Caenorhabditis elegans: one gene and its partner. The protein of the gene in region 2 interacts with the protein of the main gene of each other region in a pairwise test. Each region holds a gene or a part of one and is shown on either strand. Other genes may lie near its edges.

The links. Proteins that work in one complex are often made in the same cells at the same time.
Region 1: the proteins of akir-1 (region 2) and ima-2 interact in a two-hybrid assay, tested with the Caenorhabditis elegans proteins (one study listed by BioGRID).

The regions. Positions count from the first base shown.
Region 1 is NC_003279.8:6,312,436-6,317,767, reverse strand, and holds ima-2 (Importin subunit alpha-2), read right to left. Parts: upstream 2,536-5,332; 5' UTR 2,522-2,535; coding exon 2,426-2,521; intron 2,332-2,425; coding exon 1,996-2,331; intron 1,953-1,995; coding exon 1,572-1,952; intron 1,528-1,571; coding exon 950-1,527; intron 904-949; coding exon 699-903; 3' UTR 501-698; downstream 1-500. Other genes in the region: hrpk-1 (Heterogeneous nuclear ribonucleoprotein K homolog), read right to left, coding at 4-51; srg-14 (Serpentine receptor class gamma-14), read right to left, coding at 3,176-3,388, 3,431-3,604, 4,081-4,443, 4,788-5,018. UniProt on the Caenorhabditis elegans protein: Nuclear transport receptor that mediates nuclear import of proteins, and which is involved in sister chromatid cohesion. Binds specifically and directly to substrates containing either a simple or bipartite nuclear localization signals (NLS) motif.
Region 2 is NC_003279.8:4,134,160-4,140,687, forward strand, and holds akir-1 (Akirin), read right to left. Parts: upstream 4,794-6,528; 5' UTR 4,787-4,793; coding exon 4,601-4,786; intron 4,572-4,600; exon of another isoform or gene 4,445-4,571; intron 4,409-4,444; coding exon 4,205-4,408; intron 4,175-4,204; exon of another isoform or gene 4,049-4,174; intron 3,952-4,048; coding exon 3,780-3,951; intron 3,733-3,779; coding exon 3,638-3,732; 3' UTR 3,002-3,637; downstream 1-3,001. Other genes in the region: srrt-1 (Serrate RNA effector molecule homolog), read left to right, coding at 1-331, 388-698, 746-903; dph-6 (Diphthine--ammonia ligase), read right to left, coding at 1,171-1,248, 1,632-1,862, 2,093-2,359, 2,736-2,909; gclm-1 (GCS light chain), read left to right, coding at 5,399-5,423, 6,490-6,528. UniProt on the Caenorhabditis elegans protein: Molecular adapter that acts as a bridge between a variety of multiprotein complexes, and which is involved in antifungal innate immunity, development of the muscle and sister chromatid cohesion.

The DNA of each region.
Region 1 (5,332 bases), 2.2 Mb from region 2:
TACCTTCGGACTGTCTGTTCCATTAATAGCGGCTCCCACTTTGATCATCATTTTGAGTTTGGATGTACTGCAATTAATGTGTGATTTAACGAATTATATTGAATTTTAATTATTGGAAAAAGCTGAGAAATTTGAAGTAACCGAGAAATAGCTGTGAAGAAGTTTAAAAAACTTTTTTAGGACTATGAGCCGGATCTTGTCAAGTTTTGTTATCCTAACCAAACATTATTGTGACAAATGCTTCAAGTGGAAATTATTTTTCAAATTTCGTGATAAAATCATTAAAATTAACGACAAAAGGCATCATTTCAGTTCAGCCGGAAGAAAAGAAAAAACAAGGGATATTGAGTCCAGATTAAAGGCGCAGACAATTTTCAGATGGGTCCCGCGACGAACACATAGACAAAAACGCGGATGTTCAAATTAGCGAGTGAACAGTTCAACAAAGAAACATGAATGCGTATTGAAAAATACGCGCATCGTTTTCCCGGTTATAAAAATCATATGTTCCACTTTCTTTTCATTCTAAACAAATTGTCAATTTAAAGTGAAGAGATCAGTTAAAACGGGGTCAAATATAAATACGGGTAATACACACAGATGAGGGTAATTCTAAAAAAAACAATCCAATGTTAAATGTGAGAAAGAAGAATGTTACTATGAAATGACTACTAGAATGATGATAAGTGTGAAATAATTTAGAAACTCCATTTGTTATCTTGTGGATCGGCATTCTCATGAGACTCCTTCTCTCCAGCATCATCGTCGGTGAAGAATTGAGTGATGATGCGGTAAGCCTGAGTATAGATCTGCTCCGATTGACTTTCCTGGAGGCGCTCCAAACTGTCAAGTCCACCATTCTCTTCGACTTGGTCGTGAAGAATGTCCACTTTGTGAGGGTAACTGGAATCACATTTTTGAGAGTGCTAATTATCTAATAAAAACATACCCATTCTGAACAGTGAGCATAAGAGTATACAGAGTCTCCAAAGTATTATTCAGCATATCAGTGTTAGTTTGAAGAAGGGCTTGGCACAAAGCAGGCACTACATTGTCTTCAAGCATGGCGACAACTTGACGATTTGTTCCCCCTTGAGCCAAATTAGAAAGAGCCCAAGAAGCCTCGAACTGGCACTTGTGATCTCCCGACTTCAGAACATTGATGAGAACTGGGAGAAGATTTGCGTCGAGGACAGCTTGAATCTGCTTCTGAGTTCCAGCAATAATGTTGGACACCAACCAGCAGCACTCCTTCACAATGCTTGATGATCGCGTCTTTTCCATCAATGGAAGAATTTCATCGAGTGATCCCAAGTCGATAACCGCCTGTGTCAGCGAGTCATTTCCAGTTGCAACATTACCAAGAGTTCGGAGAGCCGGAGCAACAAGGTTTTCAGCTTCTTTGAAGAAAGCGACGACGTGAGGAAGCACACCACTTTCTCGTGCCAATTCGATTTGCTCATCTGGTCCATCAGTCAAATAAGAAACAGCCCAGCATGCGTCTTGACGGACTTGACGGTCCGTGTGCTAAAGTGAAGACGTTAATTGCGATCGAACATTTTGACAATTACCTGAACAAGTTTGACAAGACCTTTCGACAGAACACGAAGAACTTCTAATGGGGCATGTGGATTCTTATGACGGCACATGTTGGAGAATGCCCATGCAATGGTACGAACATGCGAATCTCCCAGTTGATCGACTTTCTCCATCAAATGCATCAACGCCTCCACTCCATGGCATTTAATAACATAATCACGAAGTTGAGATGAGTCTCCAGCAATGTTAGCGACTGCCCACAAAGCTTGCTCCGAGATCTGCGCACTCTGATGAACTGAAAGATGGATCAGTGGAATTGTTACTCCGGCTTCAACAGCTGCAATTGTTTGCTCGGTGGAACCGGAAACGATATTGGTAAGAGCCCAAGCTGCTTCATATTGAACACGCTCGTTCTGAAAATTGGAAATTATTGAATGGAAATAAAGATCGACCTACCTCAACGCTCAATGCCTGAACCAAAGCCTGAAGCAAACCGCAGTGAATGACTTCATCAATAGGTGGATTCTTCGTCTTTGATAGTGATTTTCTCAACGACTCGAAGCATCGAACCATATCATCTTCCGATGGATTGTTGGAGAGAATAGCTCTAATCTCATCATTTGACAAACGGGTTGATGATTGCTGATGAGATATCTTCTCTGGCTCCTCGAGCTCCGATTCCGAATTGCCACCTTCATCGACGTCGACGATGTTACGGCGTTTCATCATCATGTCCGCTCCTTTTTGCTTTCGAATTTCAACACTGCATTCAGTACGACGACGACGGAGCTCCTGAACAGAACAAATAAATAAATCTCGCAATTACTTTAAATAAGTCGGATAGTAACATTTTTGCATGAAATCTGTTATCAATAATTTAACATACTTCATGCTTGGTGAGATTCTTGTACTGTTGAAGGCGGCCTCCCTCATCCTTTCCCTCTTCGGCATTGTGAGACAGGCTGGTTTCGGTGAGAGTCATAGTTAAGCTTCAATCTGGAAGAACTTATGTGAATATTAAACAAAAATAACACTATTAGAAAAAAGTAGGAGTTTCTGATTCGAAAAAGTTCGGAATAAATCACCTCCATACTTTTTAATAATAAATTTCGCAACGAGATAAATGGGAACTAGTTAAACAGAACTAAAATTTCATGAGAATATTACAAATTCAGTTGAAAAGAATGAGTGGTGAAACTATTTAAGAAAGAAAAGGAGGAAACATTGGGCGATGAAAGCAGAAATGAGCGCCGCGGCCCAAAATTGTTATCAAAAAGTGTAACCTTCGCGCCGAAATTCGAAATGTTGAAGCGAATAAGGCGCCAATAAAGAGCGTTGGCGCCAAACTGATTTTTGGCGGTAACTTAAAATCGAATTGTTTGCTTTTAAAAAATCGCATTAATGCGTATTCATGGAATGTTTTTGAGGAAAAGATTTATACTTCCGAAAATATATAGATTTTCTAGCCCTACAAAAATGAAAAATGCAGAAAACACAAACTCCAATATAAATACCACGATATATCTAACCTTAATTGTACAGTAATCTACCGTAGTTCTAAAAACGGTGCAGCATGCATTTCAACATGATTGAATAAAACATACTGTTGAATAAACAATACTTTATTCGAAAAAGTTCAACGAGCAATCACCATTCCGGAAGTTCTAGTTAACATTTTTGACAGTGTCTGATTTTTTCGTTTACTTTTAAAAATGTGAGTTCGAAGATTTCTGCTAACACATATCATTACAATTGGAGAACCAACAGTTAAAAAGTCTAGAGCTAAAAAGCTAAATCCATAAACGGGGCTTGATGCATCAGTGTATGAGAAGAAAAAGCTGTAGTATATCTGAATGTTCTAGATATTTTTTAAAATTCAGAAGTTAATAACCTGAAATAAAACTTTAAAAGTGAACCCAATGGATATGATAACCGTTGCATTAGAGATTGCTTTTTCTATTTCTTTTGATCTTTCTGGAAGTTTTAACAAAGTAATTGCAGTGCATATAAATGTAAATGATAATGCAATAATAATAAAAACAAGTTGAAAACGAGATTGGCTTGCCTGAAACAATAAATATTAAATATAATGTACATATTTAATGTGCTCCCAGCCTCAGTTCTTGTCACGAACAAGTGTGTTGGGTTACTGTACCCGCTTATCTTCTCGTTTTCCCAGAACTTTTCAATATTTCAGAATTAAAAAACGCATAATTCTAGAAATATGATCAACACAAAAAGAGAGAATGACAAATAGAAAGATTGATGATCTATCATTGTTGCGGGTACGGTAGCTGAAAAATTTTACTCGTCTCGGGATCCGAGACTGTTGAACAAAAAGTTCAGTCGAAAGTGTAGTTTTTCGCATGTGAGGTAATATGTCTAATTTGGTATAATCTGGAATCCTTAAAGTCACACTCATTTATTTTGTAAGGGTCTCTCCAGTTCATCTTTTATTTTTCTGTATGTGGTTCATTAAAACAGTTTCTTCAGTTTCTTTTAGTTTTAAAACAAAAAAGAAATGGAAACAGATGAACTTACCCAGCTAACTTTCTTGAAATAGCTAACCCAGAAACCTCCATACGTGGATTGCATGTAAACTCGAGATATAGCAATATTCCAGTCAGCACAAAATGGAATTAAAAAAACTGCACTAATCACATATTTCAAGCTTTTTCTCCATATTGAATCGTGCGTTATTGGAAACAGGACACACGTCATTCGATTTAAAACTAACAAAACTTGTAAAAGGGATTTACAAATTGATACATGATGAGTTAATAACATTATAATCTTAAACCCAACAAGCGGAGATTGAAAGTAATCAGCGAGAACAGGGCATATTGGTGTAAAGTAAATAAAGAAACGAGCAAATAAACCTTCTGTTATAAGAATTGATATGTTCTGAAGAAAGTACGGTGCCCATTTGAAACCTAATGAAACAACAGATTCAAACAGAAAGGTCTTACAGCGAAATAAATTTATAGTAGCACTTGTGACTTTTTCGTTTATACTTTTTCAATTCAAATTAAAATTCTGATACTCACCAGAAAATCAAGTAAACCAATAAAACGGAAAAAAAATTTGCAACGAAGGCAAAAGAGAAATGAAATTTTCATGAAATTTTCTTTCAGTACAACCTTTTTGTATTATACGATGCTCCGCGCTTTGTTTTTTTGTTGCAAATTTTAATTATTAATTTCTTCCGAAAATCTCTGAAACTATGAGTTATTAAAAAAAACACTTACAGCTATACAATCAACCGAAAAAAGAGTAAAAAAAGAGTTCGTGGAATAAACTTCTCTACATCTCCAGAGAATAGTCCCCAATACGGCCGAATTCAAAAATATCCCAGTAATAATGTAAATTATTTGAGCTGTGAATTTTAAAACTTCAATGTTTGTATTATAGGATAAATCACAGTCTACAGGAATTGGATCAATATCAAGATTCTTCATGTCAGGCGAGAAATCTGACATTCTAAAGACCCTAGGATCGACAAAGAAAATGAAATATTGGAAATAGAAATTCAATGAAAAGAAAATCTCAAAGTGCCAATTATGCCTGGAGGGGTGCGAAAATAGAGAAAAATGTTTGATCACGCAAAGGTTGCATGTCTATAAAGTTTGGACACATGATGATATTAAACACGAAACATATAACATTTTGATAATAAATTGTTTGAATATCTTGGGAAAACGAATAACAATTAAATTAAAATTAATGATTTATAAAAATATTATTGTAGCATTGAAAATGTATTAATTGTAGGCAAGTAAAGCTACATTTGGTT
Region 2 (6,528 bases):
AGATTCGGTTTGAGCGCGATGATAATATCCTGAAGGCTCTCGATCTTCTCATCGTTTACCTTCGCATTGTTCATTCCATCGATTTTTATAATCACGGACATTATGCGCAGGAAGATTCGATGCCGAATCGATGTGGCTTGATTCACGTTCGTGGGCAGCCGCCTTCTGGAGTATCAATCACTACTGACGAGGATGGAGCTCTCGTCGTTCCACAGAAATTTGTGAACGATTTTATTTCGGGATTCAATAGCCGCATTGAGAAAGGGTTGATTGAAAAGCAGTATGTAAGCGAGGAAGAATTGGAGAAAATGGGCAAGAAGGATGGAGAAAAGTAAGTGAAAAAATTTGCTTTTTTAAAAATAATTTTTAACAAACCCAAATTTTCAGGGAAGTTGAAGCTTTTATTCAAAAGAATACTGTCGAGTTGGCAAAGGATAAATGGCTCTGTCCGCTTTCTGGAAAGAAATTCAAGGGACCTGAATTCATCCGAAAGCACTTGCAGTCTAAACATGAAGACAAGCTGGAGGAAGCGAGAGCAGAAGCTGACTTTTTCAACAATTATCTTGCCGACGCCCAAAGACCAGTCGACTGTGAGCCCAAACAAGCTCCAAGAGATGATCATCGTGGAGGTGGTGGTGGTGAGCGAGGTGGATATGGAAGAGAACGAGACGATGATCGAGGACCTGGTGGTGGAGGAAGTGAGTTGTTCAACTCTTGAAATTTCATAAATATGATTAATTTTCAGGAAACTCTTTTGGCGGTGGAGGATATGATCGTCGTCCCCAATTCCCTCCTCGACATTCACTTGGTGGACGAGGTGGTGGTGGACGCTACTTCGAGGATGCGCCACGTCGTCAGCCAGTCTCGTATCGCGATTTGGATGCTCCAGATGATATTCCATAATTCCATCCTACGTTGAATCCAATTCAAATATATGCACAACAAATTATGCTATTTATTTCCCCCTTCTCAATTAAATATTAGTTTTAACTAAATGTTTTTGTATGGCCAATAATAATCTCCTTTTTTAAAAAACGCTCCATTTTCAATACGTCCCTAATGAAATATGATTCTGTGTAACTCAACGGAACTTTTTATTAGAAAACAATCATCATAACAAGAAAAGTAAATATAACATTTAAAATTAACAAAAGTACATGTTTTCCCATCTCACTTGTCCTCCAAGTGCATCTTTTTCAGTCGGAGGTAGAACACAGGAGCAATGGGATCATCTTGGTGGGTTACTGTCTGGAAAAATACAGAATGTTGAAAGTTGGATTTCAAGTATTACGGGAGCTGAGAATGTGTATTGCGCAACATATTTGACGCGCAGATTGTCTCGTAGCGAAAACTACAGTAATTCTTTAAATGACTACTGTAGCGCTGTTGTCGATTTACGGGCTAGATTTTTTGAGATTAATTTCTTTTCGAATAGTGACAGGGTTTCTTCACATAATTTTCTATATTTTTTCGATAAATAAAGAATTTTAATTATTTTCGAAAATCAATCCCGTAAATCGACACAAGCGCTACAGTAGTCATTTGAAGAATTACGGTAGTTTTCGCTACACGATATTGTGCTCGCCAAATATGTTGCACCATACGCATTCTCAGAATTGTGTAATATCTACCTCCGTTTCATCGATAACAATTCGCTTTTTAAAAAGCGGGCAATCTCGTACAAATGACTCGAATTCTCCACCTTCACCGCACGGATGAACTCCATATTTATCCTGAAGAACTTTCATAATTGGTGCCATTTCTGACAACGTTTTTCCGAGATGTTGCTCGCCGAGCCCAATGGCGGCCACTTTGATGAGAATCGCGTCGAGACCATTTTCTACCATTTCGGCAAGAAGGCCCTGGAAAAAATTGTTCGTAAACTTTTTTTAAAGGATTTTAAATATATACCTTCTTAAAGGCGCACCGATTTATCCTCGGCGTGTCTCGTATCTTTTTTGCAGTTTTTTTCATTTATTTTGGCAAATCAAAGAGAAAAAATAGACTACCATTAACTTTTTTCGCGCCGAGACCCAGCTGAATACACCCGTGTCCCTTTAAGAAGGCATGTGAAATGACAATAAATAATTACATTTTGTTCTCTCTCCCATAAAAAGCAAAGTGGAACGAGATCAAGCCGCCGGCAAATGTCTTCAACTCGAACTTTCTGATAACTCGAAAGAATTGCTCCAGCCGATACTCCTTTTACTTCTGGATGATGCTTTTTCACTTCGCATAACAATTCGAACAGATCCTCCACTTCATCTCCATCTGTTTTCTCGTAATCCGACTTTTGATTTTTCGGCTCACCGGTGATTTCTCGTCGATAGAGAGGAAGTTGCATGGCTTCACCGTACAGCTGAAAATCCATTTTTATTAAAATTTATTAAATTATTCAGACGCGGAATTTTGTGATTTATTGAATAAATACAGGGATCGACGCGACAAACTTTTGTTCATTGCAAAAAGGTGTCCGCTTTTAAAGATTACTCTAATTTCAAATTTGAAAATTCATGCATTGTGACGTTTGAGTTTCAAAAAAATGAATAAACTTTCACGGAAAACTATGAAAAATCGATAGAAGTTACAGAATTCTTTAAAGGCGCGCACCTTTTTGTAATTGAGAAAAAATATGTCGCGTCGAGACCATATTTTCAGCACAAAAATCCTCTGCGTCCGGGTAAAGGGTGTCGTTTCTTCATCCTTTTCTATCTCGGTTCGTGGCAGGACCCAACCTCAACTCCATCTGCTCCAACACTTTGATACATGTATGAATCAAGTTCATCTGATTTTGCATCTTTCGGTGGGTGCAGATTTGCAAGTGCCACGATTTGATGGCCCTCTCGCACGGCACACATCAGGTTGTAGCAGCTGTCTTTACCACCAGAAATTAGTCCGACTACTTGCATTTCGCTGAAAATTCTCGAGACTAGAGGGGAGAATTTCGATTTTTGGTGTATTGATCGAATAAACGTTTTTTTTAAAGCAATTTCCACAACGATTCTTCGAAGCACTCTTTATTTAAAACGATGGAAAGCGAAAAAGTAGCAATGGGAGATAATGAAACATAGTGGCAGAAAAAGGGGGAATAATAAAATAGATGGTCACACAACGAAAATTATCGATTAGGGGAGAGGAGATTGGTGGGAAGTGAGCAGGGTCAATTTTAGATTGGAAGGTGGAAATGCTCACAAATAATATCACATTCACAATGAAAGGGTGGGTGCGAGCACAAAAAAAGGCCAAAAAGAAGCTGTAATGTGTAAAGGAAGCTACGAAAATCTAATCTCTTTTTAATTTCATAATAAAAACCTCGTACAGTCAATGCCTATTGAGAGGTAAAAGAAAAGGTCAAAGGCGATGGGAGTGGAGGGAAGCGGAAAAATGAGGGAGAAAACCATCAGAAAAACCGCATTTAACTTTGAAACATACCAGTGATCAAGAAACTGTGGAGGGGAGGGGGAGAATGACGATTAAAAGTTCAAATTATACGAAAAAAAGAAAGTAGAAAAGACTTCAAAAAGCAAGTAGTTTCAACTTCATTTAGTTTTAGAAATTTTTGTTGAAATGTTGAGAAAAAAGCAAATTGGGATTATGAACGGATGTTTTGCTGTTTTATCGGCCGACCATGATTGATTTAGGAGAGGTACGAATAGGAATAGTCATCCCCAGTGCTCACACATTTGGAGTTCAGCTGCTCGGCAGCAAATTGGACGTATTGCTGGTGTTGCTCTGAAAACGTTAATTATAAAATAAATATTATTCATGGAAAATCTTACCATCAAGCTTCTTAGTCAGAACCATTTCGAACTCATTTCTCAGACGGATTTCTTGTTGTTTGAGCAGACGTTCGCATATCATTTGAACATTTGCCATTGTAAATTCCCTCTTGGCGCTGGAACGATCAGTCACAGATGTTGATGGTGCTTCACCCTCGGAATCCGATCCAGACTGAAAATTCGATTTTAACAAAACCATAGTTAATTTCAAAACACTGAAGATATTTCAAAACACTGAAGATAAATTTGTTGTATACTATTTTAATTTAATTGTAGTCAGAAATAAGTATAGCCGGTTCGATGACAAGGAACCAAACTAGTTGCTATCTGCCGTCTCTATAGTGTCCGATTGAGCTCAACGAAATAATGGATTTCGCAAAGGAATAACAGACACAACTAAAAGAATAGCTCAGCTATAATCCTACCTTGGGAGAAGAAGGAGCTCTGTAAGCTTTTGAGTAGTTTGAGCTGCATCCGTCTCCTCTTTGATCTCCATCATCATCAAAGTCATTGCTGCGTGGAATGGCTTTTCGCTTGCGCAGGTTTTTCACTTCCGAACTGAGATATGTTTTGAGCTGATTTCGAGACAAACGAGTCATAAGTGTAGCTGCTTGGAAGACGCTTTCCTCCTGAAAAATGAATAATTTTCGATATTAGGTAAAATAAATGTGGTCAGAAGAAAGTATAGCCACGATCAAGTAGAACGCAACTAGTTGCAAATCTGCCATTGCTTTTGTGTCAGTATGAGCTCGAAAAGGAACAAATATCACTATCCGAGGAATAAATGACACAAATCTAAACATATTATATCAATTATCTACCTGTTCTTTGAACTTCTGAGCAAATGTGCTGGTTGACGGCAGTGTAGCGGCAATAGTTCCCATTTGAGCACGGAAAGGAGGGCATTGCGTTCTGGCTCGCTTTGCTTCTCCGTTGTATGTCTCATCAGTTAAAAAAGATTCATACTCGTGTTGCAGAGGTCTTTTCAGTGCGAGTCCGCAAGCCATTTTACTTCTGAAAGAAATAATTTGTGGTTACGAGAAGTAACATTTCTTACACAAGAGTTGAAGACATTCGAGATAAAATCGAGAAATACGAGAAAGGCCAATCTTACGAAATAATCGATAGAAAATGAGTTAGTGACAATTTTGGAGAACATTTGAACTGCTCGCGTGAAAAAACACAATATTTTTAAAAGATAAATCTTTTCGATGTGGTAGAAACTAAGAATATTGACGTGAAATCTTGCAAGAAATGAGCAGACTAGTCGTAGTGTAAAGCAGCGGGAGGCCACACATCGACCCAAAAATCGATAAACGTCAGGCGAAAGAAAAAAGCGTCTTGAAACAACACAATGGCATGCTATTTTCCAATATTTTTCAAGAGAACTGGCCTAAATCGAGCGATAATTAAGAAAATCAACGAAAATCCACGCAACAGAACGCCGGATGAGTCGATAGGAAAATGCGAAAATCGATGAATGAACTGAATGAGAGAGAGGGAGAGGGGAGGAGGGGTACGGTAGAGAGAACCTGCAGATCTAACTGCGCCGCCAGTTCAAACACCGCCCACCACGCCTCTTCATTTTCCATCCTTTTCCGAACGGAATTTTCGTTGAAATGCGACAATTTGCAGGGTTTTTCGGTAATTATTGCAACTAAAATTGATGAAAATGAAAAAAGTCAATTTTTAAATATATTACTCCGAATTTTTGATTTAAAAAATACAACATTTTTTCAAAAATTCAAAATTCCTTTTAAAATAGCAGTGATTTTTTATATTTGAAGCCGTGATTTTGAGATAAAAAGAAGATAAACTAATTTTTTCGTCAGAAAACGAAACTGATCATTTTCGAAATGACGAAGAGACGGAGAGAGATATTTCTCTATCCGTTTTAATTTTTGTTACAATAAGAATTTGATTTTTGCAATGGAAATCTTGGCTTATCAAAAAAAAACTTAAAGGAGAAGTAACGGTTCTAGGTATTTTGAAGGTACAACCTCAAAATGGGCTCAAATCAAACTTCTCGAATATAAAAATATCTAAATTTCGAAAAAAAAAAGAAAATTTCAGCTGAAATCTCCAAATTTGGTAATTTTTCCGTGTCGCAGCGGTCGGATGTTGATATTTTGAATTGTCCACGGGTAAAGTGACCAAAACTGAGGATTTTAGCAAAGCTTGGCTGAATTTTTGAAAAGTTTTATCACAAAATTCGTTTATTTGAGCGCATTTTGGGGTTTATTTTTAAATTTTTATTCAAAATACACAGTACCGTTTCTCCTTTTTTTGCTAAATTCTATCGATCATTCATTAATGTTAGGTTTTTTTTGTCTATACAACCCCTAATATATCCAAACAATTCCTCTCCCGACGAGTGATGTAATCGAGATCGCAATCACATCAAGCAATTCTGTGTGTGGTTTTGGTTTCCAATGGAGGCGAAATGAAAATAAAGGTGGTGAGAGAGATGAGAAATCGGAGACTTTAGGCGAAGAAGCATGTGAAAAAGGAAAGAAAGAGAATTAGAGAGCGCCGAACTAAAAACGATGACAATTCCATTTTGTCATGTTGTTTCATTCGTCATTTCCGCGAGAGCAAGACTGCTGCAGTTGCTCTCTATCGGTGTTCATCCCGGAGAGCTCTATTTGTCTCTTATATACCTTTCTCAATTTTCGTCGACTTTTAAAGTGTGTACGTCCTTTTCTTTCAGTGCAGCACATTCGAAAAATGACGTACTGCCACCAATTTC